Linked DNA regions of Arabidopsis thaliana. The protein of the gene in region 2 interacts with the protein of the main gene of each other region in a pairwise test. Each region holds a gene or a part of one and is shown on either strand. Other genes may lie near its edges.

Region 1 (17,502 bases), on a different chromosome or scaffold from region 2:
AGGATTCTCTGGGGGCCAGTCAAGCATGGTATCTATGGGGGAGAAGTTTTTGTACAAGCTGCTGCTGCATCTCTTGATTACATCTATGGTGGTTTCCCCTATACAAGAATAATAAAAAAATTAGCAATGTTTTACGTGAGACTGATGATTTAGTAGGATGGTTTGCTTGTTGTATAAGGGCATCTCCAACCACAACACTAAAATGGTGTTAGAATAACACTATATTTGGTGTGATTTTCACACTAAATTCTTTTTCATCTCCAACCACAACACCAAAAGTCACACTAAAAATACTATTCTCTATTATTATATTATTAACCTAAAATATGAATACTTTAAGAATACTTAATAATATTGAAACAAATGTTAGACAACAAAATATTACATTAAACAAATTTAATACAAAATAAAGAAACACAATATATTATTTAATTAAACACAACATATTATTTTATTCTTCATTAATTAATATAATATTACAATCGATAAACCAAACATAATAAAAATAAATTACATCGTACTAATTCTCAGAATTAGTATATTGCGACCACAAATGTTCAATTAAAGCATTTCTAAGTTCAATATGAGCTTCTCGGTCTTTAATTTGTCGGTGCCGAGCCAAAAATTCTTGAAATCGAGTATCATCATCACCCGTCATCTCAACTTCTTCAATTGGAACTTCGACCCGTTCTTCAATTGGTGCATCAATATCACGCTCATCTTCGATGATCATATTATGCATTATGATACAAGATGTCATTATATCATGTAATACTGTTTTATTCCATAAGCGTGATGGCCCCGCCACGATTGCAAACCTCGACTGCAAAACTCCGAATGCACGTTCCACATCTTTTCTACAAGCTTCTTGTTTCATGGCAAATAATTTCTTTTTGGGACCACGTGGATCATGAATTGTTTGAACAAGAGTGGACCACTTTGGATATATACCATCAGCTAAATAATAACTCATATTATAGGGTTTTTCATTGATAACATAACTAGCGGGTGGAGCAGTACCTTCGGCTAGATTAGCAAAAAGATGAGATGCCTCTAGCACATTAATATCATTATTAGATCCTGGTAACCCAAAATATGCATGCCAAATCCACAGATCATAATCAGCTACAGCCTCTAGAATAATAGTAGGAGATCTACTACGACCAGCATATTGTCCTCCCCAAGCTGTTGGGCAGTTTTTCCATTTCCAATGCATACAATCTAAACTACCCAACATACGTGGAAATCCTCGAGATTCGCCAATGTGAAGTAGGCGTGCAACATCATTAGCGTCAGGTGATCGAAGATAACGACATGCAAACACCTCAACAATGGCACGACAAAATCGTTTCAAACTTTCTAGAGCTGTAGACTCTCCTATTTTGATATACTCATCGGTGGAATCTGCTGGTACACCGTACGCTAACATTCGAAATGCGGCAGTCATTTTTTGCAAACCAGACAAGCCAAGTTTACCGACTCTATCTCTTCTTTGGACGAAGTAATTGTCATGTCTTTGTATAGCATCATAAATACGAAGAAACAAAGAACGACTCATCCGGAATCTTCGTCGAAACATTGTCTCAGGAAACACAGGTTTCTCTGCAAAATAATCGTTGAAAAGATTGCGAGCAGCATTTTCTCGATCACGATTGATAACTACATGACCAGGAATAGATCCACCATGCGAACCTTCTGAGTTATATAAGTGTTGAGAGCAAAGAAAATTATTGTTAGTAGTAATTTGAGATACCACTTGCTTTTCTATATCATCTTAATAATTATTATCTGAAGAAGAAGAAGAAGACGGAATATAAGATGAACTACCGTAGTTAAAACTCATCTTCTATGAGAAGAAATAGAAGATGATAGTAATATTTATTTTAGTTCTAAACATATTGCCCATTATATAGAAGAGCATGGAATTGATATATTCATCTTATCAGAAAAAGACAAATTGATCTTAACCGTTGAATTTTTTTACCAAGATCTAACCCTTGCACTGATTAGTCGTTTCATGTCTTTTATCACTGGTCACCTCATGAGAAAAAGATGAGTTCATCTTAACCATTGAATTTTTTTTGAAGAGAATCTAATCGTTGCATTGATTAGTCATTTCATATCGCAAATCAATTATCACCTCATGAGAAAAAGACGAGTTCATCTTAGCCGTTGAATTTCTTTGATCAAGATCTTACCACTGCATTGATTAGTCATTTCATGTCTATATCAAGTATCACTTCTTTAGAAAAAAATAAGTTAATCTTGACCGTTGAATTTACCAAGATCTAACCGTTGGTATTGCTTTATATTCTCTATATAAATGTATATTACTCTATGAATAATCACACATCTCCAACTCTTTTTCTTACTTCTTATATTTTTCAAAAATGAGTTCAAGTCGCTTTTTGTCATATTCTATTCAAGAAGATATACAATTGTGTCATGTGTATCTCGATGTTTCCCAAAATTCAACGAAGACCAAAAAGATCTTTACAAACTCGAATGACGTCAATTCTTTCTGCAGTCTCAAAGCTGAGAGGATGCGTTAACCAAATTGAGAATAAAAATCCTAGCGGTGCTTCTGAAGAAGACATTGTAAGTACTCAATTATAAATTCTTGTGTTTACTAACTTATCTTTATTAAATTATTTGTACATGCTAACTTATTTTTATTTGTTTCTTGTAAATATGTAATCAGTTAAACCAAGCGAAGATGTTATTAACTCAATATGAAAAATACAAGAGAGGATTCAAATTTGATCATGTATGGCCTATTCTTAAAGGTATTGAGAAATTTGCTAATGATAACATGAAGACACCCGCTGCATTCCAAGGAGAAGGTCGTGATGTTACGTCATCTTCATCATTTTCAATCAATACCGAGTCATCACCTTCCCCTGGTATGAATTCAATTGATCTAAATATGGATAGTGAAGATGCCAATTTTAGTTTATCTTCAAGGCCTATGGGTTTGAAAAAAGCAAAGCGAAAACAACAATCTGAAGAACAGTTTAAACAACTTTTGGAGCAAAATGATAAACTTATCAAAGCTATTACTAAAGGTACTTCTGAAAGAAATGAAATTCAAAGGCAGAAGATCGAGGTAGCTAGAATGAAAGAAGAGAATAAAATATTATTTGCAGATTTGAATTCTATAAGTGATCCATCCTCTAGTGCATATATTGAAAATGAGAGAAAAAGAATTTTGGAAAAAAGAGCACAAACAAACCAACATGAAGAAGATGGTGAAGGCTCCCAATATCATGGATCTCAATATCGAGCATCTCATTATCAAGAAAGTCCATTTCATGGAAAACAAGTTCAAGGAGAACCGGATCAAGGTGAAGACCAAAGATCACCAAATAACCAAGAAGATTTTACCCAATATTATAATTATCTTAGCGGAACCGGAAATAATTTTCCTTAACCATTTGTGAAACTTTTGTTATGTTTTTAAAACATATCTTGTTGCATTTAGTTTTTATGTTTGTGTGGTTTTAATTTTTTAATTATGTTATAAATGTATAATTTATTTTATTGTATTTTCAATCAACTTCGGTATTAGTTTTAATATTTTCTACTAATCCATCATTTTATTAAATTAAAGATTACAAAAATAGTACTTATAAATTATTTTTTAGTTACAAGCCTTAGTTAGATTACTTAAATCTCATTTACAATCATATATAATCTATTATAACTAAATAAGCTATTTTAATATATAATAATGTTAACACAAAAGAAAAAATTATTATTTTAATATTTGACGTGGATACAGTAGTGCACCAAATATAGTGTTACACTGTACAAAAAAAGAGAATCACACTATTATAGTGCAAATTATACCGTCTGATTGGAGTGAAAAAGTAAACATGCCCACGTTATTTTAACGTTTTCCCGTGGCGTTGGACTTGGCCTAAGCACCACCACAAATAGTCTCGTAATCACCTAGAGGTCTAGCAATTCGGCACGATAAAGCTAATTTGCCAGAGGATATTTCATAAACTGAAGTCTCAAAATGTTGAAGAGCGGTGAGACCAATGGTGTCCAAAGTAATGTGGTAAGAGCAAGCAGCAGAATGCGTGGACTGGTTGTATTTCTTTACGCTACTGAGCTCTAAGTTTTTCTCCTAATATTGATCAAGAAAGAATTGTAGGGTAAAAATACATAGACAAGGAAACAAGAAGAGCATGCATTTATAGAGCGAGTTTAATCAAACCTGGAGCAAATTGTACGGATGAAGGCCGAGCCTGGCATAAAGGATAACCAAGGCAGGACATGGAGAAGACTCATCGTTACAGATTGTTTCATTTCCACCAAAGTGTGGTACTCTCTTTATAAAGGAACTCTAGAAGCGACAAGAAAGAGGGTTAGGATGTGTGACGATGAAAGACATATGTGAATCGCTTTACAACGACTAACAATGATGAAGAATATTACCGCGGATCTATTCACTATCCTATATCTTTTCCGAGGATTGCTCTTCTCCCTCTCCTCTGCCCCGGCCACCATCGTCTCGAGAGCGGCTGAGGTTTTTTTTTTTTTTTTTTTTTTTGGGTCGATTTTAGGTTTCTGATTATATTAGCGACCTAACCATGGTTGAAATCATTGGTTTGCAGGCATTCACCACTGATGGAGGTATTGCTAGCTAGACAATTGGTATGAGTCGGTTTTGTTTAGTTAAATCAATTTGGTAAAACAGACAAAGTTGAGTTCTTTCTAGCACTTGGTCGGATTTCTATTTTGCGGTTTATGTTAAGAAATATGTAAAATTTACTGCTTAAACTAGAAATCGATAAATCATCTCGCATTCTAATTTTTTAGTTATTGATGTGTTCTTTTTTAGAAACGAAAAGGAAACTACAAGGGTTGAAGAATATCTCCCTATCTTTACCCTATGTTAAACCAAATTCAAACACAACTTAAAGTCAAAAAGTAAAATAAAGCATTACAGACGCACCAAATAACTTATAAGTTTATTCGAAAGCGGATCTTGCCTTGTGACTAGCCAACCCAACTGTATTTCTATACATTAAACCGCCTAGGATTAGGAAACAGCTGCCGTTTGAGACATAGGCTAAGCAAAAGTTGTTCACTCTTTTGAGACATAGGCTAAGCAAAAGAATATATACAAATTTGAGCAAAAAAATATTAAAAATATATTTTTAAAAAAATTCTTATATATAATGTATATATATAATTGATACATTTATGCAATTATTAATTTATAATATTGATGAGACCATGTATTTATATAGGATTTTCAAAAAACTTATTATCTTATTAATATTGATTTATGTCACTTTTTACACTGGTCCCAAGAATTTATTAATTTATAGAGGTTTTACTGTACACAATTAGTTGATATTATTGTTTAGGTGATATTTGAAAACCTGTTTGGTGACCAATTGACCCGCAGTATTAAGAAGTAGGTCATAACCTTAATGATGTGGATTAATTTCGTCTATGATTATATTTTCTTTAAATTGTAATCTAATATAATTTGTTACATTTCTCAATGTTACAATTTATGTTGTACTTCTAAAATAATAGTATAGGTTCAAAACCAAAACGTTATCATTTGCTGTGTGGGGCATACACATCATGCGACATGGTTAGTGTTTCTTAGTTTTGCATGGATGTGAGGAAGAGTTTATTTCATTGTGCTCACGTTACCTGTGCGCGAATTTGTTGATAGGCGTTATGGAATGAATCTCCCTAAAGATGCAGATATAAATGATGGAGTGTTGTCTCATAGTTGCTAGGCATTTGTAATGAGATATGCATTGTCGTTTGTTAAACAATTTGGCATACCAAGAGAGGGGGAGATGTATTTTAACTTCAATTTAGAAATGTCATGATATCCCGAGAAAAAAAAAAGGTACTCCATAGATTAAATCTTTTTATATATATAATATAACAAGCATTTTTCTAAACTATGTCTAATAATGTGGTGTTTGACATTCTATTTTAATAACACATGTACTTTTCATTAGTTGTAGTTTGACTAAAATTAGTCATTAGATATATCATGTATTTTATAAGAATTTTTTCCAACTTTAGTTTTTTGTACCATAATTGTTGCTTCTTTAATTAATTATATTAATTTATTTAAATGTACCGTCCACAATTTCTCTTCCTGAAAATAACTATTTTCCTATCCTATTTCACTATATCTCAAAATCAAAATTTTAATTTGTTTTGTGTTAATTCAAGGTAAAATTTTAACATAATAATATTTTAAAACTATATTGTAACATTTAACTATACAAACAAAAATAATTCTCTAATTTAATAAGAATTTAACTACATCAATGATGATCATTTAGTAAGATGGCTTGCTTGTTGTATAAGCACCACTACAAAAGTCTCGTAATGACTTAGAGGTCTAGCAATACGGCACGATAAAGCTAATTTGCCATATGATATGTCATAAACTGTAGTCTCAAAAGGTTGAAGAGCGGTGAGATCCATGGTGTCCAAAGTAATGTGGTAAGAGGAAGCAGCAGAATGCGTGGACTGGTTGTATATACTTATACTACTGAGCTCTATGTTTTTCTCCTAATATTAATCAAGAAAGAATTGTATGACAAAATACATGCATAGACAAAGAAACAAGAAGATCATGTACATATAGAGCGAGTTTAATCAAAGCTGGATCGGAGCAAATTGTAACGATGAAGCCGAGCCTAGCATAAAGGATAATTAAGGCAGGACAAGGAGAAGACTCATCAAAGAGCTTTATAACCAAAATTGCCGATTTCTCTATTAGATAGAAATTGATGAAAGGACATTTTGTTCTTGGTCTGCCGTTTACAAGTAAACTCTCCACAAAAGGGTACATGTGGCGTTACGAGTTACGACCAGAATCACAGGTTCACGTATCAACAAAAACAACGTATAAATCAAGATATTTGAAAAGCCAAAATAATAAACGAAGCTATTAAATTATTCTCATCACTCATGCATGCTGTACTGGAAAGTATAAATTCGTTTTCAAGTCATGTCATATTGTTGACAGGTGAAAACCCCGTGATTAAGATTAAATCTAACCACAGATCCAAATCATCTAATGTAAATGTATCCATAAACCATAAAGAAAAACAAAACGCAGTGTCGTGCTGACCATGGTAACATTGCATCTAGACGTGTCATAAAATTCCCGTGTACGTTCTTGCATAAATTACGAAATCACAACATTAGAAGAACCAGATCATGGAGATTAATTATTTGAAAAAGAGTTTATTATCAAAAGAAACCAAAGATAATTGTCTTAACTACAATGAAAACATAAAATTTACTTAAACGGACAGTCACATAAAATTAGACATGCCGTGATTTTATTTTTCGGTTGCGCGGTTACAAAAAAAAGTGATCCATCTAAGAGAAGAACTTGTAGGTCTTGGCGTTGATAATGATGGTTCTGAGTCCTCCAATTGGGGCAAGGATCGTCAAAAGAACTCCTACTATGATGCAGAACTGTATTTTTTCATAATCCACAACACCAACAAACCAAAACACAAAAATTGTTACTTTACAAGAAAACAAGAGCTATAGATTATGTACCATTGATTACTAAAGAACATACCCAGTTAGCTGTCCAAGATAGACCAAACCTCTTTGGTTTCTTGAGAACGAGCCACATAATGCATGGAAGCTGCAGTTACAAATTAATATGTGTATATAAATTCACAACTTTAATCTATGGATAAACCAATAAAGAAATGAAGGGATTATTTGTACTATACGTAGTAAGTTGTTGGGGCAAAGGCGAATCCTCCAAAGAAGCCGAGTAGTCCACCGAAAAACGGGACGCATATCGCAACAATCATCGTGAAAGCTGCACGGTCCAATGTACATTGATGAAAATGAGATTAATTAATGAATGGAGTAGGAGGATGACGTTACATATGTATAAATGAGGAGTGGGTTCTTACCGACGTAAAGACTACGAGTAATGAAGCGGAGCTTGAAAGAAGGATTGAAATTCATCTTTTTGACCAAAACGGTTTCGAGCATGTCAAAAACTGGCATTGCAAATATCTGAATCCACACAAAGGTGTCAATATTCATGAAATAATTCTTACTTCAATCAAAAATATAGAAGTACTAGAATGTGGAAGAATACCTGATAGCTTCCAATGACATGGATAACCACGAACATGTTAGCCATAGCAATAAGCCAGATAGGCTTCTCCAAAGTGATGAGGATGTTGTCATCAACGCTGTTTCCAAAGATATAATAGCCGAGGAATGCTACAGGGAAGTAACAGATGGCGACTACAATGTAGGCTACAATAACTCCTCTCCACATTGGGACCTTGGATGGCATCTCCGGAGTCGAAGGGATTGTGGCCTGAATCTCCAACACAACGTTGTGACCTGCATAAGCAAAAGCCACATCTCCCAACGCATTCAAGAAGTTGAATACTTTTCCAACATCGGTTGATGCTCTAGGAGAGTAGTCCACATCTGGATGTACCCCTTTGTGCACGGATGCAGCCCAAGCAATAGTTGAGTAACTGTACAGATCATAAAAATCATCAGGCAATAAAACCTAGTTTTCTACATATTTTGGGATTATGCTAAGTTTTTCTTCTAATAACCGGAAAATATACAACAATTTTGATCCCTAGCCTTGAACCACAAGGCATGCTCTAGGTTAATTATTCTAACTTTCTGTTCAAGTTATAAAGTAAAACCAATATATGTGTGTTGAAGAGATTTACGTTAAGGACATAACAGCCGCGGCAAGTGAGATGATGGAGATAGAGTTGAAATTGGGAAGGTGAGAGATAACAAAGTGGACGGAAGCAAAGATCATGATCCAAAACGTAGTTCTGATCTCTTTGCAATCGGGACAGACTAGTTGATGGACTTTCTTGAGGGATGCTCCTCCTGTGACCATATAAACGATGTCAACACCGACCTCCACGATAAGCTGCTGCGGCACGACGATCCATAGGCCAAGCTTTTCACCAAAAGCGTGTTGACCTAGCTCGTGATACCTATCAAGCCTCTTCCCTGGAACAATCTCATGCATCTCCACCATTTGCCACAGTGTGTACAACGTTATGATCCATGACATCACCATAATCGTCACTCCAGGTCCCCTGTAATACATCAAAAACTCAGATCAGATCATGGATTAAAACATAAAGGAGATTAAGATTATCAGATTCAACAAATTAGTATACCATCCGAGATTGGACATAGCGTAGGGCAAGCTAAGAACACCAGCACCAACCATGGCGGTGACATTGTGAAAAGCAGAGTACCACCACTTAGCGTTTCTGGAAGATGTGATCGGTAACCAATCGTCGACGTTCTTCTGCTTGGCCGCCGCAACCTCACTCGCTGACATTTCACTGTTCCCCATATCTCCTTGTGATATAATCGAGAGATAGTGTTTGGTTTTTGAGAAAGAGATTAGATACAATTAAGAAGATTTTAGGAGGATAAAGATAAGAGTGATATTTAAGAGGAGGATAGATATTCTCTGACGGTTTAGGATTTTACCTGCTTAATTATTCTATTCAACGATTTGTTAGCGTTTATGAGAGTGTAATAAATAGGTGATGAGATTCTGACTTTTCCGAATTTGAAGGGAATGTTTGTTAGTTTGTTTGGTAGTTTTGTTTAGTGTGTTTGGTCTTTTTTTTTGCCCGAGGCATAAGGCACCATCGGCTGGAAGCTGTTTCATGCTTAGACCAATTTAAATACTAATTTACCCCCAATCGTTCTTCTTGATTCAATGATTCTCTTTACATTGACATGGCTTTTTTTTGTAATTTCGTACTTTTTTCTCCCTGTATTTGCATGATTTATTTTCTTTTTTGGATAGAGCTGAATTTTTCTTTTCATGGTCACCTGATCTAACGAGTGTTTCGCTTTTAAAAAATAAAATAATATTTATTCGATAGATAAATATATCTTTCTCATTTAATGATTATTTTGAGTTGACCGACAAAAAATTAGCTGTTTTTTTGTTTTTCTTTTAGTAGAATTTATTTATATCTTGATATATATATATATATATATATATATATATATATATATATATATATATATCTAAGAGAAAATATGTTAAAAATCTATATATTTAAGCAATAACTATATTATTAAATTACTAATAGTGGCATAAAAATGCTAACATATTATTAGTTAGACAAAACGCTCTTAGATATATAAGGTGATGAGTTGTATATATTATTATTTTTTGTTAATTTTGCATATTTGTAATGTCGATGATGAGAAATTGAGAATGATCAGAGTATAAATACTCCAACTAAATCTTGGTCGTAGTGACGTTTCGCTAGCGTAATCTCTCTTTTTGACACTGTAAATCAAAATCACGAAACGTCATGACATCAAAAGGAAGATAAATATCTATATATTTTCTTTTTTCATCTTCTATTACAAAGTCAATGAAACAGACGAACTATTTATGCTTAGCGTCACTTGCATCCCGTGATATTTATGAAGGAAAACTAAAATTGTTGAAGCATAAATGCATGGTTATTTGTCACAGTATTCCCAATTGATTAGAGGGTCGCTCGAACGAATCAAGGGACCGCTCCGATTAATGATATGGTTGACTATAAAAAACAATTATTGTTGGTAGTACAATGTCACAAAACGAAACAAGCGTAATAATATAATTTCAAAGCGTGACAAAAAAAATTGTATGTCGTTTTTTATCAACAGTAATTAATCTACTCAACTATCCTTTGAAAATGTTGAATAAAATGTAAAAGAGAAATTAGGTTGAACCGTTGAAGCGTATAGTTTTTGATTACTCAAAAAAATTCAAGTGTTTCAGGTAAGGGGTTCTTTTCTTGTTGAAGGGTTTTCACAGTCAAAGGTGAAAGATGTTGATTCTTTGTCCAACCAAAGGGCAAAGAGGCACAACTAAAAACAGATAAACCCCAAAAATAAGCAACCAAGAAACTTATAGACATTGTGTCAAACCAATACTGTCTATAATAAGTAAAACAAAATCTTTCTTTCACCCTCATATTTGTTTCTAAACCTTCTCATTCCACAAAATCTTAAAGAGAGACGAAGAAGATGGATTCTGGACTATCATGGGCTGATCAATGGGATTACAACTCTGATCCTCCTCCAAATTCAAGTAACGAAGACGATAAGAAGAAGAAGAAGAAGAAGAAGAAGGAAGATGGAAGCAAAAGCGGTATCGGGAAGGCCATACTTGGATTCAAATGGATGAAACTTGGCAAGAAATCTGATAAGTAATCAATAGGTTATTTGTTTAGTTACAAAAGGGTTATTGATTCATCTGTTCCTTGTGATTAATCCATTAAGTTCTGCTTCTCTCTTTTAACCATTCTTCTGATTGTAATTGTTAAATCTTTAACATTTAGAAAGTTCGTTGGTTGCGGTTGATTGTGTATTTATATTTTTGTTGGTGAGAATTTAATAGCGACCAGGAATTGTGTTTTTGTTTTATTAAAGGTGTATTATAAAATCATTAATCCTATTAGATGAGTACATGTAAAAAAAATCATCCTTTTGAGTTTGTAATACCTAAAATGACAAAGAAAACTTAATGGATCGCTAAACACTCGTAAAAGACGTCTAGGCAATAAACAACGATTCAAAATATCACTATCCTAGTTTACTAAAATCAGCAACATGCAGGATGTACCGACAAGTAACCTCTCACAAAATTCATAAACCATGCCATATAGGCATAGTTTAATCTAATGCCGCGTCACCATCTGGATGCAAACAACAAGCAAAGTGAGATGTTCAAAAGAAAATATCTTTAAAATTGTAATACTCTTTAGCTTTTTGTAAACTACTTTTAACGTAAACGTGAAGAAAAAGTTTGACATTTATTCATACAAAAAAAAAAATATATACAAAAGGTTTGACATTTACATTATTATTTTTTTAATTTAATGTTAAATTAGATTTAAAAGAAAATAGCGTTTTTACAACTAGTGCAACGATAGATTAAAAAACATTGTGTTGAATAACGATTAACAGAAAAAAAAAAGATGTTTGAGATGCTTGGATAATGGATTCATTTTAGAAAAATTGCAATCATAATCTTGAATCTGCAAACAATTAAGGCCAATAAAAATTAGCTATCTAGTCCTAGAAAGGAAAAATGTCCTTTTTGTAAAATCAAAGGACCCCTTAAGGTTTTAAAAGCAATGCAATTCATTATAATTACTATTCTCTGTTTCGATATTTAAGACAAGATTTTTAAGATGAAATAATAACGTTTTGTCTCCTGACGAGTAAGAATCTTGAACTGTTGTTGGTCTCCCCACTAGTAGGAATCTTTAATATGAATGTAATCTATTAATAATAATAAGGATAATGATGATGATGACATGAATTAATGATAAATAATATGACTGGTCTTTTGTGATGCAGGAATATGTAGCTATTCTCACCAAGAATCTTCATTGAAGTTATTTTACAAGCGTGTCATGGTTTATCAGAAAGTGGAGAAAGACTTTGTTCGTAAAAATGGAGAAGAACGTTGAGATCTTATCAAGAGAAATAGTCAAACCGTCTTCTCCAACTCCAGATGATAAGAGAATTCTCAATCTCTCTCTTCTTGATATCCTCAGCTCACCAATGTACACAGGAGCTCTTCTCTTTTACGCAGCTGATCCTCAGAACCTTCTAGGTTTTTCAACAGAGGAGACTTCCTTGAAGCTCAAGAAATCTCTGTCTAAAACCTTACCAATCTTCTACCCTCTTGCCGGAAGAATCATAGGAAGTTTCGTCGAATGTAATGATGAAGGAGCTGTGTTTATAGAAGCTCGAGTTGACCATCTTCTCTCGGAGTTTCTCAAGTGCCCTGTTCCTGAATCATTGGAATTACTCATTCCTGTTGAAGCTAAGTCAAGAGAAGCTGTTACATGGCCTGTGTTGTTAATCCAAGCTAATTTCTTCAGCTGTGGAGGATTGGTTATCACAATCTGCGTTTCTCATAAGATCACTGATGCTACCTCTTTAGCAATGTTCATCAGAGGATGGGCTGAGTCCTCAAGAGGTTTGGGGATTACTTTGATTCCTAGTTTCACCGCTTCTGAAGTCTTTCCTAAACCACTTGATGAGCTTCCTTCAAAACCGATGGATCGCAAAGAAGAGGTTGAAGAGATGAGTTGTGTGACAAAGAGGTTTGTGTTTGATGCTTCGAAGATCAAGAAACTTAGAGCCAAAGCTTCAAGAAACCTTGTGAAGAATCCAACACGTGTTGAAGCCGTCACAGCTCTGTTTTGGAGATGCGTTACTAAGGTTTCAAGATTGAGTTCTCTAACACCAAGAACTTCAGTGCTGCAGATACTAGTGAACCTAAGAGGAAAGGTAGATTCTTTGTGTGAAAACACAATTGGGAATATGCTTTCCCTCATGATTCTCAAGAACGAAGAAGCTGCGATTGAAAGAATTCAAGATGTGGTTGATGAGATAAGGAGGGCAAAGGAAATATTCAGCTTGAACTGCAAGGAGATGTCGAAATCTTCGTCTAGAATTTTTGAGCTTTTGGAAGAGATTGGGAAAGTATATGGAAGAGGAAATGAGATGGATTTGTGGATGAGTAATAGCTGGTGTAAGCTCGGCTTGTACGATGCTGATTTCGGATGGGGAAAGCCGGTTTGGGTGACCGGAAGAGGCACTTCCCATTTCAAGAACTTGATGTTATTGATTGATACCAAAGATGGAGAAGGAATTGAAGCTTGGATCACTCTTACGGAAGAACAAATGTCACTGTTTGAATGTGATCAAGAGCTTCTTGAATCAGCTTCCCTAAATCCCCCTGTTTTAATCTAGACAAGAACAAAACTCATTGCATACTTCTTCCAAGAGATTTATATGAGTTAATTTAAACTTGTGTTGCTTCTTAAATATGAACAAAATAGTATAAAAGAATGCATTAAGTACAAGGGAATGAAATCTGAAAGACAAACTTAAAAGGAAAACAAGCTCAAACTCATTAGAAACGACTAATAGATTACTTGTTTCTCAAGATACAGAGACCATCACACTTGGGTTTGAAGAGACATAGCGAAGCAACTCCTCATCGGCTTCGAATCTAGACATATCGTTCTGGTCAAGGTTGATCCAAGCTTCAATTCCATCACCTTCCTTAGTATCAATGAAAGCTACAAGATTTTTGTAGCTCATTCTTGCAGAGGCAACCCACAAAGGTTTCCCCCATCCGAAATCTGCTTCATACACCGGAAATTTGCAGAGGCTCGTGAAGCTAAACGATACAATCTCTCCATTGACAAAACCTGAAGCTTGTTTGTTTAGAAACTCTAGGTGTCCTCTGTTATCTTCTTGAAGTTTCTTCACGTAAACTGCGTCTATCTTTCTAATCTCCTCTCTCATCTGATCCACAAGAGAAGCCTTTTCTTCATCATTTTCATTGATTATCATCATAGGGACAGTAACAGAGAACCTCATGATGTTCCCGAACATGTTGTCTGGTATATCTGGATCTGCTTGTCTACGCAAGTTCACTGGATGAATCAGTGTATAGATCTTTCCGGTTTTATCATCATGGTTTGTTGAAGCCATGAAACGGCTCCATATGAATACCGATAAGACCTCAACACGTGTCGCGCGGATCTTCTTGTTTCCGCTGAATCTTTCTCTTAAAGACTCAACAGAAGATCTCAAGAACACGAAGCGTCTGGTTACTATGTTCTCCTTCGTGATACCTGTAGCCATGTTTAAGTTTTCTATGTCGCACGGAGGAAACATCTTGGCGAGATCAAAAGAAGGAGTAATGATTTCATCAGTCTGGCCACGAGCAAAAGCTGCCCAACTGTTGACGAAGATGAGACCAGACAGTGCATCACAGAGTTTATGAGAAAGGCCTATTCCGAGTGCTAAGCCGCCACATTCAAAGAAAGTGAGCTGTACCGTGAGAGGCACGTCACTCACTTCATGGAATTCGAATGGATGAAGCTTGTTAAGTTCGTTAGGATTTGGGTTTTCTAGAATCTGTGACATGTTGCAATCGGCTTTGGCTTCGACGAAAGACACACCCACATCGTTGCACACAACAACATCACCCGAGTTCTTGATGCGTCCTGCCAAGGGGTAATAGAGATTCAATATTTCAGACAAAGAACTCTTGATGTGATCACTTCGTTCTTTGTCTGATAGATTAGTCTTGTTATGGTAAAAGAAAAGGAAAGGCATGAAAATGGGAGGAGCAAGCTGATCAAGGAAAGAGAGATGATGATGGCATGGAGGATGATTAAGGTTTCGAGGAGAGGGCTTGACGAGTTCCTGAGAAGTTACCGTGATCTCAAGCCCCATTCTTGTTTTGAAATAACTTATAATAATGATGTATGAGAACTGAGCAGACTCATGCTTCGTCAGTAAGATTATATAAGCTAAAGTTATAAGGAGGTATAGTCCTCTTTAATAACGTGTCATGGTGATTAGACACGGATCAGAATTAGACCCAAGTGAACAAGAAAGTTACAAATTTTATACAAAGATTTGGTTTTGGAGACTTCAGCTGGATTATTTTGTCAACATTATGAAACTTGATATGGGGTTTTGGTTTAACCCAGTTTTATACTAACGTTAGGTGGAAAACTATATCTTCTATTTAGACTTGAACAAGTTAATTTGCCGCAAGTGAGTTAAGCAGCTTCACAGGATACCTTTTCCCTCAAGAAACTCAAGCTTCACAGGATGCCTTTTTCCGCAAGAAACTCTTCTATACAAAATGAGTTTAGGAATAAGTACAAACAAACAAAAATTAAAAACAGGGATTCGGTTCGTCAACAATTATATAGTGATAACATTTTCAAAGTATATATCATCATCATCATTAACTAGTTGGGGTTGGTGGTCGATGGTCCTCAACATCTCCTTTAGTCCTTTAGACTAGTCCTTACCAAAAACGTTTGACTATTCATTTTAGCTAAATTATATATTCCGATAGGCTCGTTTTAATTATACGAAATTATACTTTTGTATTGCCATTCATAACAAATTTTATTTTGTATATATATGTTTGTGGTCGATATAGTCAATGGAACCATTAGGTAGAACTTTAAATCAATAAATGATATTTTTGAATTGAAAATTAGGGTACGAATTATTCCAAATTCCCATTCTTCAACTTAATAAATATGGGCTGTTCATCTACTATGAATTAATATGATCATTACGACCAATAGCAACTAACCAGAATAATACTATAGTATATATTCCCTAGAAACCAATTTTTAATTAGTGGCATTAACATATTCATAAGACAATTAATATTTTTATTTTTATTTATACTATTCAACATTTTTCACAAAAGAAAAAATCCTCCGGGGGGAAAAAACATGCTTTTGGATTAAATATTAAACAAAGAAGGCTCGATCTACAATTTCTAAATCTATATATAGTTAGAAATCATTGTAGCAATAGAGTAAACGTTATTTCTTCATGCTAGCTTCATACGTCATAAATTATGTTGGAGGACACACCATGGTGTTGAATTCATCATTTTCTATATAGCTAGTTGCCAATAAAATTATAATATTCGTTATGGAATTTGAAGGCTGAGAAATATTGTTGCTGGAGAGCGAGTTTAGTTTGTTGTCCACGCGAACAGCAATGATTCAAAACAAAAGTAATAGTTTAACGAAAACGTAGGGTTTTGTTGAGTTATGTATCTCAGCTCTCAACACGATCAACGTCACGTTCAAAACATTACATCTGGATTTGATTATTCCAGGATATTAATTAATTAGGGTTTATCCACTATACTCAATAGAAAACGTACAAACTTCTGAAATGTTTAAAGTACAATTACTATTTAATTAATCTTCTTAATCAATTCTTATTACGTTGACTATTGTGACTCGTGAAAATAGCCCGTGGACTTTGGATGAGGTATTTTACTGCAGCTCATGACATGTTAATAGGACTTATCTAATAGACTAATACTATAGATGTTAGAAACTCTAAATACAAAAGGACTTATCTATAAATATAATCGAACTCAACAATCTCAGTGTAATACCATGAATCAACAATCTTAGCAACCTTTATAACACCATGAATTTAACATTATCATCGTAGTCAATAATAAACGTTTTTTTCTTTTTATACATTAAAAAAAAAAAAATACAATCGTTTAATTAATCAACGAAACGACTGTGTTTTAGTTTCCGTCTAAAATTTAACACCGTTTATTTGCAACATTTGATAGATTATGCATTTAATTTGTTCAAATTTTCAAGATGAAATGTCAATACTTTTGAGTTTATTTTTTTATTTATTTATTTTTTATTAATTTTTTTATACATTTTTATTAATTTTGATTATGGACAAACTAGATTTTTGTAAAATTAACATTGCAATCATGAAAGTGATATTTTCAAAACAAAAGTACATTAGTCTAAAATGATACTGAAATATGAAAAGGATAAAATATGCACTACTAATTTAGTATAGAATCGATAATGAAGAGAGAATCTTCTTCCCTATTCCCTA
Region 2 (16,612 bases):
TCTCATTGTATCCGTACCATATGGCATATGCAGCCACGTCAATGTCCCATCTTCTCTATCTTCGTGTTTCTTCTTTCTTTTTTTTACTCTTTCTATTCTTCAACTTGGTACGTTGCAACTCGCACTGATATTTTTATAAAAATCTCTACAATAATATAAAATTTTCATTTGTGGGCAACACTAGGGTTTTGTGCCAATACCAATCCTCGTTTCTCACCCATATTTCTCTGACAGTACACGAGTTTATGGTATACTAAGCAATGATCTGGAGTTATGCAATTGTTAAAGCTATATTCCCATATTTGTTTGTGTATAGCTGAACTATTAGACGAGTCCATATCTCAGGGATCATTATGTATGTATATTTAATGAAAATTAATTAGCCTACAGGGCTCAACCAACTAATTATCTGACGTATTATGGTTTAATTCTTTTTTGTCATCATTAGAGAAATTGAACCTGCAGGAGAATCCCTTAAATACCAAAACACCAAATATAATGCCACTACATAAGGCAAGTTGTTTGAGCTATCGCTCCATTTAGCGCTAAGTTGGCAAACAAAGGAAAGTGTCCACACCAATTTGTAAAAACTAATTGCTAAATGTTTTTCCTATGACCATAATTTACATAGATATTCAACATTTGATCAATATTTATATATATACATGAAAAATTGTAGAGTGTAAATCACATTGTTTCAAGTCCGATTAATTAATACTTACCAAAAAAAAAAGTCCGACTAATTAATAAAGATTAAATTTATTGCATCTATGTCCCTAGTCTTTTTAAATAAGTACTAACTTTTTGCAATACAATTCTCCTAAATCAGCAAGTTCCAAAAAATTGCGTAGGCAGGATCACAAATGAGACGCCGATATAATAGGTCTTTGGAAGCTTTCAGCACAACAGTAAGCCTAATGACAAGGGATCTCATACGATCCGACGAAATCGATTAGTTTTTAAATGAAGTCAAATATGCACATTATTTTTTATGTGTTAGAGTGATTCTACAAAACTGTTTGATTAATTATAGCAGGAGACATCAGATGAAGATATTAAATAGCTGAGGAACTCACTGAATTATTCAGAAATTTCAATTTGCTTGAACTAACAGGCTTTATATATGCGAAAAAATGTTTCAGGCCTTTTAATTTTTATTATAGGTATGATATGATATGACACAAATTAAAGTTGGTGACTATTGCATAATTTGTCGTCTAACGGATAGCCAAGAGAGTAGTCTTTTCTTTCTTCATCAAATATGGGATATATACAAATTAAAGCTCTCGAATATATAATTCTGTTAAGTGTTGTTTATTTGGATATTGGCTTAAGATAAGTTGTAGGTAAAAAGCGCCATTCGATGAGACCAAATAGCAAAGATGATCACTTTTTAGAAAAACGAAAAAGGACCAATAAAACATGAAAATGTGAAAACCCCCAAAAAGTTTTTCAAACACTCAATAATTAAATATGAAGAAAAAAAAGAAAAGAGAGAGACAGAGAAGCAGAAACGGTAAGAGGAGGGACCAAAAGAAAGGAAACGTCTGAAGAAAACCCTAAACCCTAAATGGTGACGAGTGATAGAGAGAGAGATGAAGGAGCTGTCAAATGTGTCAATTCCATCGATCCACAAAACTTAATGCTTGTGGGCTACGCAACGCATCTCTCTGCTCTCTTCGTTTTTTAACACTCTTGCTTGCTCCATTAATTTACTCTATCTTCAATTCCTTTCTCTTTTTATCCCTCAGATTTGCCTTTTTAATTAATTATGGCCACAGTGAGTGTTAATGAGCTTTGGTATATTTGGTATCTTCGATTACGATGTGCAACTGTTTCCCTAATCTCTCTCCCTCTCTCTCTCTCTCTCTAATATTCAAGAAAATCTCAACCGTTGATCTCTTTCTCTTTCTTCTATTTAAACACTTTACCCTTTCCTACTTTCTTCACCCTAAATCTCTTCCTCTCCTTCAGATCTCTTTAGTCTTTACTATTAGGGTTAGCATGTTGATGACTTCAGATTCTGAAGTTAGTGGCAGTCATTGTTTGCTATTGCAACATCTTCAAGATTCAGAAATCAGATTCTCTTATGGGTTTTCTTTTGAGCCTTTATTTTTTGGTTTGAGAATCTTGATGATGCTGCAGCGGCAATTAAATGGCTTACTTATCTAGGGTCTTTTTTTCCATTTTCATCATGTGGTTAATCAGAAATCCAGATCCTCATATGTAGAATCCTCCGATATGATAACTTGAGGTGAAACTTATTTCACAGGTATGCATATGATTATATATATATAAGCACACATATATATATAATAGATTTGTGTGTGTATAAACATATTTGTGGACAAAACGATGATGAATGATTTGAAAAACGAATATGTATATACTACTCTCAATTGATTAAGTGAACCCTTGCTTATAGATCTTTTTTTTTTTAAAAAAACTTTTTGCTGCACGATGGATAGATCCTGAAAATTTCCAAAAAGGTTTTAGGGTTTTCTTTCTAACGACAAAGTATATAAGACCTGTTTCTGTAGACTCAAGGTGATTCATAAATGCATAAATTTGATTTATATAATAATGACTGAAAGGGTTTGGAGGAATTGGACATATGTATGAAGGAGCATGTATATGTCTGTTGTTTTATGTTCGGTTACATCTGGTTATGTCTCTTCTCTTTGTCCACTGGTTAATCAAATGACTCATCTTCATGTGAAACCAAACCCCTTGTTTTTCGTGTCCATGTTTCTTTATGTATGTGATTAGATCTCTATATATGTTTCTCTAATGTAGTAGATGATGATGTGATGTATGTGACAGGTTTGTATAATTCTTATAAGAGTTCTCGACTTTGGATCTATACATATATTTCGAATTTGATTCCTAAATCGGATTTGAGAAGAATCTCATTTCTTTTTCTTGTTTTTTATTTCTTATTGTTTTGTTTAGGGTCTTAAATCTGAATCTAAATGTAGTAGTGCCAACTCGAACTATGATCTACCTGAATCTGTATATGAAATCGAAATTTTACATATGAGAAAGGTTTATATATGAGAAAGAGATTAGTTTGTGTACGTTGCTTGTTGTGCAGTTGTTCTCTGCTGCAAAGATTCGCTCATGTATTTGTATTAACATTTAAGATCTACTAAGAATTTTTAATAACATGGATACCATTTTATTGATGGAAAAGTCCACATCTACGTAAAAACAAAACTGTGTGTGGGTAATCTTGATTTTCAAAGATTTATACAGATGAGAATTCTAATTAAATCAAACTTGCTTCCTAATTATAAACGTTTGATCTCACTGATGTGTGAATTTCTGATATGTGGACTTGGATAAAAATTACAACACCAAAAGGTTTTAGTTTGTTTTGTCGAGCATATGCATGATGAGTTACTCCAAACATGAAGCAAGTGATGAAGGTTTGAGTCATGGATCCTTTTTTCAATATTCCAAACAAATGAGTTTATCTACAAATAATCATCAATGGAATGGTTGGCTAAGATGTAAAATAATACTAGAAGGTCAAAAACTTGGATAAAAATTAATTCAGACTACCCAAATTATAGTTAGGTTTGAAAACGCGTTTTTATCCGATATGGGTCTAACGTCAAAATTGGGGCTTAATTACTAAACTAAGCAATTTTGCAAGATTATCATTAGTACGAGTTTTTGGGCCGGTTATGCTGTTAAAGTTTGGGTGGTCTGTGAATTCGTTTATTGTAATTTAAAGTGTGCGTTTTAAGTTGCAAACGTCGACCTTAGTGATATCGTAAGATGTAAAGACTTTCGTTGTGAATGGTGGTATCATTATTTAGACGTTGTTAAACTTTTCTAAAGGTAATGTTACGCACATTTGGAATCTTAGGGATTTAATCTGGTGATTGGTCGTTTAATTTTATGCTTATCCCAATTAATAGCATTGGACAATTAAGGCCTTTGTAAATTTGGGCCTTTAATTTTGGGCCTCAACTATCGGTGTATGCACATACTACTATTTTTCTTAACCCTCGGTCCTCCACTCCTCCTAAGACACTTTTGCTAATCAAAATAGTTTTTGTTGAGTTCACTACTTTAATCTACGAAAATCTAGTGACCCAGGGGCTAGGTTAAATTGGAGACTCGTACGATACTCGTGAGATAATTAGTAATGGTTAGCATCTATGAAGTATACAGTAAGAGATTCGGATTAGTGACTTAGTGTTATTGGTGATTGTCATCCTGATCACAATGATTGGAACAAGATTTGGTGTTTGACTAATATGGATTTTCTATAGATACGTCTCTGCTTTTTATATTCAATGCAACTGTTAAGCGATAATGACTTCTGAAAATTACAAGAATATAAATCATCAATACGATTACGAAATTAATCCGAGTGTACCAATATTCTTATATAAGTCTTAGTTTTTTTTTGGACCTCTGTTTTTTCTTGTCCTTATGTTGTGGAGTGAATATGACTGTTGTTGGTGGAATAATGAATTTGTACTGAGAAAGCAAATAAACAGTTACAGTTGCAGAGAAAAAGGTCAGTGAGAGTTTAGATTTGCTTTGATGCCTTTAAAATCTCTCTTTTTCCGCTTAAGCTTTTCCTATTTTCTGACTTCTGTAGTACTGTACCCGTTTTTTTTTTTTTTTGTTTCTTTGGATTTTTAACTTTTCACATTTGTTTTTTGCATGTTTAGTTTTTTTTTGGTTAAATTTTTTACTACGTGAGTTATTGAGGTTTTCAGCAATAGGTGCCTCTAAATAATCCCATATTTTTAAAAAACAAGACTATATTTTTGGGGAAATAAAGTTAGCGTTTAATATTCAAATGAAAGCTCATTACTTAGTGTTATTTTAATTGTTCTTTCTAGTCAAACCGTTTTTTTGTTTGTTTTGTGTGTGTTCAAAAGGATATTTAACTGTTAACCATTATAAATGCGGAAGTACCCCCTACACTCTTTTCCTTAACTCTCTCTTTAACTTTGCTGAATCCCATATTCGAGAAAACTCTCAAATCCATCAGTCTCCTAGCAAGATCAGAAGTCTAAGAATCTTCAGGCAAATGTCTCGACTGAGAAACTCGGCACAGTTGCAGCTATCGAAAAAGGAAAGTCTTGGAGACAACGGAGGCGCGTTGAACACCACGCGTTCCTCTAGACAGAAACAGGGGAAATACGGTTTCACGAGGAAGTGTGGGAGATTGGTGAAAGAACAAAGAGCTCGCTTTTACATCATGAGGAGATGCGTCGTTATGCTTATTTGCTGGACTGATCATAATAATAACAACTCTGACCACTCCTAAATCAACGTCAAAACCCTATCTTTCTCTTCTTTTTCTTGCTTCTGTTTTGAACTTTATTTTAAGAGTAGATTAGACACAAAATGTACATAAATGATTCTACTTCTGGTTGTAATTTAGATTTGAATGTTTGTGTTTGTGTTTGCTTTTGGTCATCACTCATCAGTTTCAGTGTATGCACTTGAACATGTAGAGGATAGAAAGCAATTAGTATAAAATGGTGAATTAGATTCGTTTTTCTTATTATTGTCTTACGCCGATATGTTCAGATCACGAGTTATGACTTAAATGTGTCAAGACTAGAGTAAAGATTATTAAAATATAATCAAAAGGGTTCAAATCTAAAAAAAATCAAATGTGATTAGGATTTTCGAACATCATTGAAGTCAATGGACAATTATGGTAACTTCGAAATGTTCTAAAAGAATAATGTTGTTATACTATAGTGGATTGAACATGCGAAGTATAAAAGATTATCTTTTTAAAGTAATACAATTCAAAGAATCTTCTTCTTTTTAGCCAGAAACAAAGATTAGCTTACATAAATATGAAGACACTTATTTTATACAATGGATTATGCTCTGGATTACGTAGTCCAACATTACATGAAATAGCTGCCTCTTAAATACTACAAGAAGAAATATTTTAAACAAGAACACATATTCAGATTTATAAAACCACTACGTAATATTTGGTCCCGCAATTTCCATTGTAATCACTATGACCAGATTAATTATTGTTCTTAATAGGCTAATAGCTACAATAAATAAATGATTAAATAAACAGAGCTGGTGCTAGAACGATGGAGTTTCTTTAAGAAAGAATGTCACTACTGCTAGAGTCCTCCCCATCGAGCTACTGCTGAAGAAGTGATGATATTTTATAGAAAATATGTTTCTAGATAGTTCTCATCAACTTATTTGTTTACATAGAGGTATTTTATTGTTTTTTTTTTCACTTACAAGTGCAAGGCAACTATCGCGTTCAATGATATTTTCCAGTAGCACAACAATTTTGGGATTCGCATTTGGGAGGCTAGATTGAAAAGAATGATTGGTACTTTAAACTATATGTTTTCGTCATCCGATTAAGTGATTTTTGGTTTAGCAGTTTCTTTAGAAGAGAATTATCTAGTTCGAGTCCACCTAGAGGACCCGGTATTCTTAAAAGGAATATATTAATTAAAGAATGATCCCATGTCTACAAAAATTAGGACTTAGATCTGAATTTCTCGAACTTTTTTAAAAAAACATGTGAATACCTTTTACATTTGTCATTTATACATGATACAATCGAAAAAATAAATTATGTAGGTGTATATTTGAGTGTGTTGGAATCTTTTCTCTTTGTTCCTTTGTACTACATTATTCGTGTTTTTCTAATCGTCGAGTTTCTCGATGTAGCTATTGTTTTACTTTTGATACTTAGCTTTGTGGTGACATTACGATTAATTAGTAGGTTTTCAAAAAATTTAGGTTTTTTAACGTTTGACCTTCAATGATCTCTTTTTTTTTTTTTAATTAAGAATCTTTCAATTATTCTGGCAATGATTATACAGATGAATTTTGGGTGTTCTATATATATATATGACCACTATCTCAACATATCTGCTCACATCAGTTTTTGAATTATGTACAACTACCATCCTAAATTATATTTTTGTTATTCATGTATATAGCACACCACATACAAGTTTGGGACTAATCAAGTTTGACAAGAAGGGTTTAAATATTCAAGTCATGTCGTTATTTATAGTCTACAAATTTTATGGATTATACCTACACCTCTCTATGAAGAAATTGGCTGCCTTTAAACATATAGAGATTCAAATGGGTCCGATTTAATTTTCCTATTAAAATTTTCAATATATGGTGGATGTTTGATCATTGCGACGGTGAATAACACTTTTTTCCTAAATTGTGTATACTTAAGAAAAGAGTAATGGCGGCATTGAACAATTATAAAAAAGATAGTATATAATAAGTATATTTCAATTCCACTATGTATAAAGAGACAAATTAAAATAGTTTAGTCACTGATTGGAAAACTAGACTTTATGAGCCATCCCCCACAAATCGGAAGGGATCTATGATAAATGATTATAAAAAAAAATTGATTGTTCATTAGCATGCTTGATTTTGATTTGTTTATCAGCTCTCTCTTCTTAGACAACAACACGCCGACGATATTCCGTTTTGACTTTCACTGTTAAATTGCACTTTGGGGACTCTTTTGTACTTTAAGTTCACTCCTAATTATTGGAGATTACAAATTTACAACTTATAATTTTTTAAAAAGTGACAACTGACGTGAGATTTGTTTAGTCTTAAGACAAAAATAAATAAATAAGAGAACGAGCAGCATATTGGCCAATAGAAATATAATGGGCCTAATGGGCTAACTTCTGTTGTTGCTCTTCAGTTAAATAGATAAGACCTCTTGAAAACATGATGGGCCTAATGGGCTACAAATATGAATTTTAGCACCGGTCCCTAGAGAACAATAACACGTGACGTCAAAAGCATCGGATTAGAGAAAGAAGAAGAAGAAGAAGAAGCCGATTCTAGGAAAAATCCGATACTCTTTGGACAGTCTATGGCCACCGATCTCTACGGCGATCTCTTTCCGGTTATCACTTCGTCACTACACATTTGCTTCTTCCGTTTTCGTATCGGATCGAATACTATTCATCTTTCTTCGAATCGGGTGAGTTCGAGAATCTAAAGCTTACACCTTTAGTTACGATTCGTCTGCTGTTTGATTTTGAATTCATATATTTGTTTATCTGCAGAACTATCCATTCACTCAATTTATAAGATTTTACTGATTTTGTGTTGGTGAGCTGAGATAATGATAAACTCACTCAGAAATGATTCTACACTTTAGTTGATGTAATTGTGTATGTGTTTATGAGTACTGAAACGTATCTGTTTATATTCCAGTTATCCAGTAATTGTTATTTTATATGAAAAGGTTTGTTTTTTATGTGAATTAGGTTTCTTTGAACCTTTGAAGCTATGGGTGATGCAATCGATTTGAGTGGAGATGGTGGCGTCTTGAAAAAGATTGTAAGGAGTGCCAAACCTGATGCTATTTCACCCTCTGATGATCTTCCTGTTGTCGATGGTATGTTCTTAAGATTGACTAGTGATCAGGGTCAATATATTGTTCATCTACTGCTTATGCTACTCCTAATTATATGTGTTGATGAAGGACCATAACCTTGTTTGATTTTAACTTAGTTCATTATGAGGGTATCTTGGCTGAAGACGAAAAGGTTTTCGACACTACTCGCGAAGACAATCTTGTTTTCTCCTTTGAGTTAGGAACAGGCAGTGTTATCCGTTCTTGGGACATTGCTCTTAAAACCATGAAGGTTTCTACAATTTTGAGTCTTTCTTCTATCCTTATAATCTGAACGCTTCAGTTATTATATACAACTGATTTGATTTTTTTTACAGGTTGGAGAAGTTGCAAAAATTACATGTAAGCCAGAATATGCTTACGGAAGAGCCGGGTCTCCTCCCGACATCCCACCTGAGTATGTTATGTTCCAAACTTCTTGCATCTCGTTCAAGGGAGTGTGACAGTTTTTTTTTTGTTTTTGTAATTGAGATTTTTGGTAATTGCAGTGCAACTTTGATTTTCGAGGTGGAATTGGTTGCTTGTAGACCGAGGAAAGGTGCTAGTGTTGGAAGTGTTTCTGAAGAGAGAGCCAGGCTAGAGTAAGTATTATAAATACCATTTGGACCTAACTTTTGACTTGTTATCATGTGTGTAAATATGAAAACTTTTTTGCTTCATGGTTGCAGAGATCTGAAGAAGCAGAGAGAGATTGCTGCAGCTGCGAAAGAGGATGATAAGAAAAAGAGAGAAGAAGCAAAAGCTGCTGCAGCTGCTAGGATTCAAGCTAAGCTAGACGCTAAGAAAGGTCCAGGCAAAGGAAAAGGCAAAGGCAAAGCTAAATAAGTCGAATGCAAAAGACCTGTCACTACTATTTCATGATGAATCTAAATCAAACTTTTGGAAAGGGAGAGTCATCAGTTACATCATATTGAGTTATTGACCATTACATGATTTGTTTGGGGTTTAATTCGCACGCACATTAATAACATAAACAAGTGTTCGAAACCAAACTTTTCAAACCATGTCGGAAGCATCATCATCAATCTCATCTTGTTCTTGCCATCCTGAATGAGCTCTAAATTTACAGACAGGACATGTTCCTTGCTGTCTCAACCATGGATCGATACATCCTGCATGAAACTGAGCAAACGGATATATGTCTGAGTCGTGACACAGTAAAGAGCTGGAAGATTTTCAGTTTAAGATAAAAGTAAAAATGGAAACCTGATGCAAACAAGGTAAGGTGCGAACGATTTCCCCTACGGTAACTTGTTCTAGGCAAACACTACATGTGAGCTCATCTTCTGTTCCTTTTTTACTTTCATTGGCAGAATCTAGCATCTTCTGCTTTGAATAAGAGGAAAACGACATGAAAAATTAAGACATTGTTAGCCACTTAGCAAGAACTTTTTACCGAGCATATGAGTATTGACCAGTTCAAATGTGATTTTTGTATATCGGCTATTTTTTGTGTGTGGGGTGGGGGGAAATGTAAATATGTCATATACCTCAGCTGAGGATGAGGTTGACGCTTGCTTTGCCAAAGAGCAACCACTGTCAACAAAAGCGAACGCAAGACAAAAACCATGAATACAGATTCATTCACAATAATTAGAAAGAAAACAAAAAGGCGTTGAGCTATGAAAACTGAGAAAAGTTTCACTCAGTAACAAATTTTAAATGTTCATTCCACAATAAAACTAGCGCCTGACGATTAACCAAAGAAGTGATGGGATCAACGGAACTCATGATTTTAGAAGATTCTATTGAAAAACAAATCTTTAGTAACTCAATGGACAATCAATACCTTACATGTTCCGTTTAGCAAAGCAAACAATAAACCTAAGTACAATATCAGTTTCTAACTTATTAAGTTGTATATTCTACCACCCCACCTTCCCCTGTTAAGGAAGTTAAGGTCTATACAAGTTGCTATATCACATCATCCTAACTTACTATTTTCTTAATTCCTCAATGTTTCCACATTTGAAAGCATTTTAAACTGTTAAAAGAGAAACAAGGTACAATATTGACTCACTTTTCAGGATCCAACACCTTGTACTTGTGAACTGGAAGTGCATTTATCTCTTCCTCGCTCATAGAAGTTGTGGAAACATTATCAGAATCAAGTGCTCTTAAAGTTTCATAATCTGTTGCAGCAGAACAACTTTTGTCTCAGACTTCAACCATAGAAAGCAAACTACTAAACTATAGACTAATAAAAAGGAACAAGCGGATGATACTGACCTAAGTCATCAAATTCCCGATCAAGAAGAGCCAGCTGGAGCCTAAGTCCCTGAAGACGCCCTCTCGTAGCAAGAGCAATGGAAGGAGGCACATGCAACCTCAGCTCAGTATGGCTAAAGAGGCCACTTGCTGCTGCAGCCTGAGCCTGAGCATGAGCTTGAAGTTGTTGGCAAGTAGCATACATCCTAAGCGTCGTTGCCATCAAAAACACCCCAAGCACAAGCCACAGCTACAAAATTAATGGAAATGTCAAACTCACACCCGAAAGACGACTAACTCAAAAGGAAAAAACTTTAACTCACGTATTTAATCATACCAGGAAATTAGGAGGCATCTGATGCGAATTGAGAATCATAAACAGCAAAAGAACTGAAATACACAAACCAAACACAAGTATTAACAACATCACAACTGAAGATAACATAGAAGGTGAAAGTTTGAATTTACCTGTAACCAGAAAAGCGAGGGAATTAGAATTAACTGGTCGAGCTCCATGAACACGCTGATACCAAAAGACACTTGCAATAAGTATCATTCTAACAAAAACCATTGTATATGTTTTCAAGAAAGCATACCATAGCTCGTCTTTCGGGTAGAAAACCACCCGAGAATCCGCTTTCTAAATCTCCTCTACTTCCCCGGAAAACAAAGCTCATGTCTTCCAAATTCACAAGAGAGCCTGCAAAAGAAAACAATTGCCACTGAATCTATATTTGGTTCTATCAAATTAATTCAAAACTCTATAAACTAGAATTCGAGAAACCATGTTGATCACAGCAATAAAGGAGAGGCATTTAAACCCTATGCTGATCCAAACAAAACAATAACACGAATCTTTTCACATAAGCCAAGAGATTGAAAATGAGAAGGTTTCATTCATGGATCAAAAAAATTGAACGGAGCTAGAGATCGGAGGAGAAATTCACCTGAAAGTAGGAGAAATCTCTACGGAGAAGAGTCGGATTTACTCACTTAACATAGGCGTGGTGACGACGGAGTCACGAAAATCGCTTGTCGGACCGAGTCGACTCGGACCGAGTTATCGCTAACCTGAGGATATAGTTTTTGTCTTCATTAACACAGACCATTAACTTCATATGGTTTAACTGTTGCTGACGCACTAGCTTAAAAACGTCGTCGTTTTGATGTTGCCACTTATTACTTTCTCTCCTACTCTCATGACTTTATGTTATGATGCAATAATTTCACCACAAGAATCTGACTTAACGTTGGATATGTTTCAAATCGAAATTAGATAAATATGGAAAATTCACAAATTAACCATCCAAATTAGATAAAAGGGACTTCTCCTTTTATTTTTATTTTATAAAGATTTATAGTAATTCCTATCCGTATATTATTTAATTTAATAATGTATTAAAGATATATATATATATATAATTTTTTTTTTTTTTTTTATAAAGATATTACTATATCCCATAATGAAAAACCAATATATAAAGAAGTTCAATGGAACGTAGGTTTCCAAAATCCAAACCGTCTCACAAGTCACAACTTCCGCCTCTTTCCTCTCTCTCTCTCTCTTCCGGTGATTCCTTTAGCCTATAGATCAGCGGTTGATCTCAACAGAGAGATAAGTTTGTTTTTAAGAGATTTTGATATCTAGCTAGGGTTTACTTTGGATATTTCTTCGTCTCCCCTAGGGCATAATTACTGGTGCAGATATGGATTCCATGATCAAAGATGTTGATCCTTCCGTATTGTTAGCCAATGGCTTTATTCAATCCCACTTCACGAACTTAAATACTTCCGAAGCATTAGCCAATTGCTTTCTCCAATCTTACTTCCTGAATCTAGGAGTCTATCCCGAGGTAGTTCAGATGATGTGGTATGCCGACGACAGTGTTATGACTAGACCCGGTCCTGATGGTACAATGATGTCTTTTACATCGCCTGAGGTATTGTCATTAATCAGATCAAATCTTTCTCATGAGTTTCTGTTTTTAGTTTGATGTTCTGGTTGGGAGTAATTATATTTTATAACAATAATTCTTTTAGTTATATTTTTAACGTTTTCAAAACGTATAAACTTGAAAAAAGCTGTAAACGATTTATAAGGACAAACAATTTTTTGATGGTGCAGGCAATTCAGGAGCAAATCGTTTCATGCGACTATGAAGGTGCTTCGTTTGATGTGATGAGTTTTGCTGCTCAGAGTTGCAATACCAGTTCTGAAGATGGAGCATTTATCATGGTTACTGGTTTCTTGACTTGTAAAGACAAACAAGTGAGGAGGAGATTTGTTCAATCTTTGTATTTAGCTCGTCGTCAAGATAGGTCTTATGCCATTGTCAATGATTTCCTCCGCTATATCGATTCAATACCAGCATTACCTTCTGTTCCTGAATCCGGTAAACAGCTGTATAAATTGTGTTTGATATTCAATTTTAGAATAGTAAGTGTTTAGCTTCATGAGATTACAAAACTTACTAACTTAGTTTTGGTGTGACTATATATATAAGCAGATTTTGCAGCTGGATTTGTCAAGGTTTACTACGAGTTGCCTATGCGTGAGGAACTTGGTTTGATGTATGTCAATGAAAGTATTATGAGCAGACCGACTTCGACTTCTGGTAGAACAATGGTCGAGATGCCTGGCCTCGATGTAAGTTGCAAAAGTTCCTAATTCCAATGTATTTCTAGAGAAATTTTAGTGGAATAAATCTAAGGGGTTAGTTTTTTGGTGCAGGCAATCAACAAGAGGGTCTCAAATGAGCATAAGAGGGCTTCTAATTTTATATTGAATAGTGTGGATTATCAGATCAGCAGATCCTTTAAAGATAGAATGTTTATCATGGTTTGCGGTTTCGTGACTCTAGACGACAAAACAGAGAGAAAGTTCTTGCAATTTTTCTATGTGACACGTTGTCACAATGGGTCTTATGTCATCTACAATGACATCCTCCGTTATGTTGATGTTACCCCTCGAGACACACTTGAAAGCTCGAGCCAGTCCGCTGCAAAACCTAGTACTGATGTCGAGCTTCCTTACTTCATGGTTAAGAAGGGGAAGCTACTCTCTTATTTTAACAACATAGACACGCAAAATTACCCCCACTAATAGTTTATGCTAGTGTTGTTCTTTTTTTAAATGCATTTAATTTTGTTCCTTTATGTCCTTTTTTTATATACAAAACCTTATTCGTCTATGTTCTTTTTATTTGAGCTTTATAAATTTCTTTTTTTCTCATAGAAGAATCCTTGTTCTCTGTTCCGAGATATTTGTTCTATGAGACTATGACTGAAAAATGATTTATCTCTATTTCGTGTTGTAATCTTGAACTTATGCAATGAATTGTTCAAAATCAGGTTACGCTAACCACAAGATTTGAGACCAACGATCAACTCAAAATATTAAGCAACAGCATATGATAAAAATATTTTACATTTTAACATTCAGATTACTTGTTTTCATGGTGAAATATTATGCTTGAAACGTTACTAAAACATGGTTAAAAGAACCAATTATCTTGGATCAGTTCTTGTTTTACCGGAGAAGGAAAATATCGACGAAGTAGTAGTTTCATTCGGTCCGCTATAAAACCTAGCTGAATCCACAAAATCTTCAAACTCGCCTGCACTACCGCTGCGCTCATCAAGACACATACTATCATTTGCATCTAGAAAATCCGGTGCAGGAACAACTTCAGGCGACGGAAACTGCTTTTCGAGATACATAACTACTTGTCTCATTGTAGGTCGAACCTCGGGTGAATTATTTGAGCATAGAAGCCCTAATTTGATCACCATAACCACTTCCTCTTCGTCAAACTCACCGTTCAATCTCCTGTCCACAACATCTCTAATGTCTCCGCTTTGCCACCTTGACCAAACCCAATCAACCATTACAAGCTCCTCTGGTAACGCACTTGTTTCGATAGGTCTTCTTCCGCAAGCTACTTCCAATAAAACCGCTCCAAACGCATAAACATCGGTGCTTGTTGTCAGTTTTCCGGATTTTGTGAGTTCTGGTGCTAAGTACCCAAATGTGCCAACCACTCTTGTAGCCCCCGGATCCGATCCATGCTCATATAACTTAGCAAGACCGAAATCTCCTACCCGTCCGTTCATTTCGCTGTCCAACAAAACGTTTGCAGCTTTAATATCGCGGTGAATAACCGTTTGTTCCCATCCTTCGTGTAGGTAGAGTAAACCGGAAGCAACCCCTTTTATGATTTTGAATCTTTGCTTCCAAGTCAAGATAACTTCAGGGTTTTCGTCGAACAAGTACATGTCTAAGCTTCCATTAGGCATGAAATCATAGACAAGAAGCAAATCATCCCGCCTTCGACACCAACCGAGCAACTGAACAAGATTCCTATGCCGGAGGTGACCAATGCTTGAGACCTCAGACATAAATTCTCGTACACCTTGTCTTGACTCATGAGAGATTCTCTTGACGGCTACAAATTCGTCTGAACCCGGGAGCTTTCCTTTGTATACTTTACCAAACCCGCCAGACCCGAGAAGCTCTTTGTCCCCAAAACCATTAGTAGCTTTCTTGAGCTCTCTGTAAGAAAATCTATGCGGACCAAAATCAAGCTCCCATTCTTCAACTCTGTCTTCATCTTTCACCTTTCTTACCACGAACAACGATGCAGCGACAAGAACCGCGAAGATCAAAAGGGAACACAAGAGAGATACTCCAAGAATCAAACTCTGTCTCTTCTTCTTCCTCTTCTTGATTGAACTAGGAATCCGAGGAAGAGATGGCAAAGACAGAGAAAATGCTTCTCCACTCATGTTAAAGTTCCAACCTAAGATGTAATGTGAACTAGCTAGCAAACCGGTGGAAGCAGAGAATCCAACATACATTTCATCTCCCAAAACAGAGGATAGGTCAACATCGTAAGAGAGAAGAGACAACTTTGGTTTCTCTGAGAATGGAGAAAGTTTAACATCTAACCTTTTCTTGTTTGAATCGTAATCAATCCAAGCTTGAATCACTCTACCACCATCAAGGAAAAGCTCCTTTTTGGTTGAGTTAGCGAGGAAATAGCCAGCAGGAGTCGAAATACTCGATTCCATACTGTTTATATCGATTCCTACATGGTTATCATTAATGTCCTCAAACTCCAAATCCCTGACAGTATCGAATTCCACAGCGAAGAAGTGGCTAGAGAAGTTAACTCTGCTTGAATTCAACAGGCCTAAGTACTGGCTAGGAAGAGAACCTCTGAGATCTGGAGTTGGAGTGATGGCGAAGGCAAGTCCGTGGCCACCAAGAGTAACAAACTCTGGAACCATGGCGATTGCAAAAGACGTGGAGAAAGACAGAGCTCGGTTTACACCGATTGGCTTGAACCGTATTGGTAAGGAGTAGAAAGCGTGACCAATCACGCGCTGTGTCTCTGTTGTGAGCCTGATTGCTCCAGTGGGGGCGATCTCTGCAACTCCGTTTAACGTTAAATTTGGTGAGGCTTTTTTGAAGCCAATGAAGGAGAAGTCTTGAATTAGAGATGAAACTAAGTGTGTTAAGAAGATGAGTAGTAACAAGATGACAGCAAAGGTTTGAGACATCAAGAATTGTTTTCTTGGGAGAGAAGTAAAAAGAGTAAGGGCTACTTAGGTACTAGGGTTATAGTTCTAATATATGATCTATTTGGAGGATAGGTCAAGAAGATGGTGAGGATACGAAAGCATGTGATACTGTTTATAATGTTGGTGATACAGGAACATGTTATTATTTCTAGACTGATGATACTTTATGATATCTAATATTTAAACAGAGAATTCAAATCTACCATTAAACTACGATTATACGAGGTTAGTACGTACCATAATTATAGGTTCTGGGTGTTGTTAATATCAATTGAGATCGTCGGTATTGATTAGTTTAATAGATAAGAAAGTACGTATAACTGTATAAGTAGTAATCAAACGATCTACCAGTTTCCACTTATAATTCTTTTTTTTCTTCCGACG

The links.
Region 1: the proteins of AT3G55520 (region 2) and LHT2 interact in a protein complementation assay, tested with the Arabidopsis thaliana proteins (one large-scale study listed by BioGRID).

Annotation. Positions count from the first base shown.
Region 1 is NC_003070.9:8,644,180-8,661,681, forward strand, and holds LHT2 (lysine histidine transporter 2), read right to left. Parts: upstream 9,737-17,502; 5' UTR 9,383-9,736; coding exon 9,201-9,382; intron 9,117-9,200; coding exon 8,733-9,116; intron 8,526-8,732; coding exon 8,132-8,525; intron 8,047-8,131; coding exon 7,941-8,046; intron 7,844-7,940; coding exon 7,752-7,843; intron 7,661-7,751; coding exon 7,592-7,660; intron 7,483-7,591; coding exon 7,384-7,482; 3' UTR 7,228-7,383; downstream 1-7,227. Other genes in the region: AT1G24380 (no-apical-meristem-associated carboxy-terminal domain protein), read left to right, coding at 2,446-2,598, 2,702-3,430; AT1G24388 (uncharacterized protein), read right to left, coding at 3,920-4,132, 4,223-4,351, 4,444-4,515; AT1G24390 (uncharacterized protein), read left to right, coding at 4,022-4,093, 4,247-4,401, 4,589-4,655; AT1G24405 (uncharacterized protein), read left to right, coding at 11,074-11,259; AT1G24420 (HXXXD-type acyl-transferase family protein), read left to right, coding at 12,508-13,818; AT1G24430 (HXXXD-type acyl-transferase family protein), read right to left, coding at 14,011-15,318. UniProt on the Arabidopsis thaliana protein: Amino acid-proton symporter. Transporter with a broad specificity for neutral and acidic amino acids. Basic amino acids are only marginally transported.
Region 2 is NC_003074.8:20,585,867-20,602,478, forward strand, and holds AT3G55520 (FKBP-like peptidyl-prolyl cis-trans isomerase family protein), read left to right. Parts: upstream 1-7,794; 5' UTR 7,795-7,999; exon of another isoform or gene 8,000-8,288; 5' UTR 8,289-8,310; coding exon 8,311-8,419; intron 8,420-8,535; coding exon 8,536-8,669; intron 8,670-8,754; coding exon 8,755-8,834; intron 8,835-8,925; coding exon 8,926-9,018; intron 9,019-9,105; coding exon 9,106-9,262; 3' UTR 9,263-9,433; downstream 9,434-16,612. Other genes in the region: RTFL7 (ROTUNDIFOLIA like 7), read left to right, coding at 5,057-5,296; SDIR1 (RING/U-box superfamily protein), read right to left, coding at 9,434-9,559, 9,644-9,763, 9,928-9,973, 10,458-10,569, 10,667-10,895, 10,983-11,035, 11,114-11,168, 11,242-11,322; AT3G55540 (nuclear transport factor 2 (NTF2) family protein), read left to right, coding at 12,352-12,585, 12,771-13,038, 13,162-13,292, 13,377-13,748; AT3G55550 (Concanavalin A-like lectin protein kinase family protein), read right to left, coding at 14,153-16,207. UniProt on the Arabidopsis thaliana protein: PPIases accelerate the folding of proteins. It catalyzes the cis-trans isomerization of proline imidic peptide bonds in oligopeptides.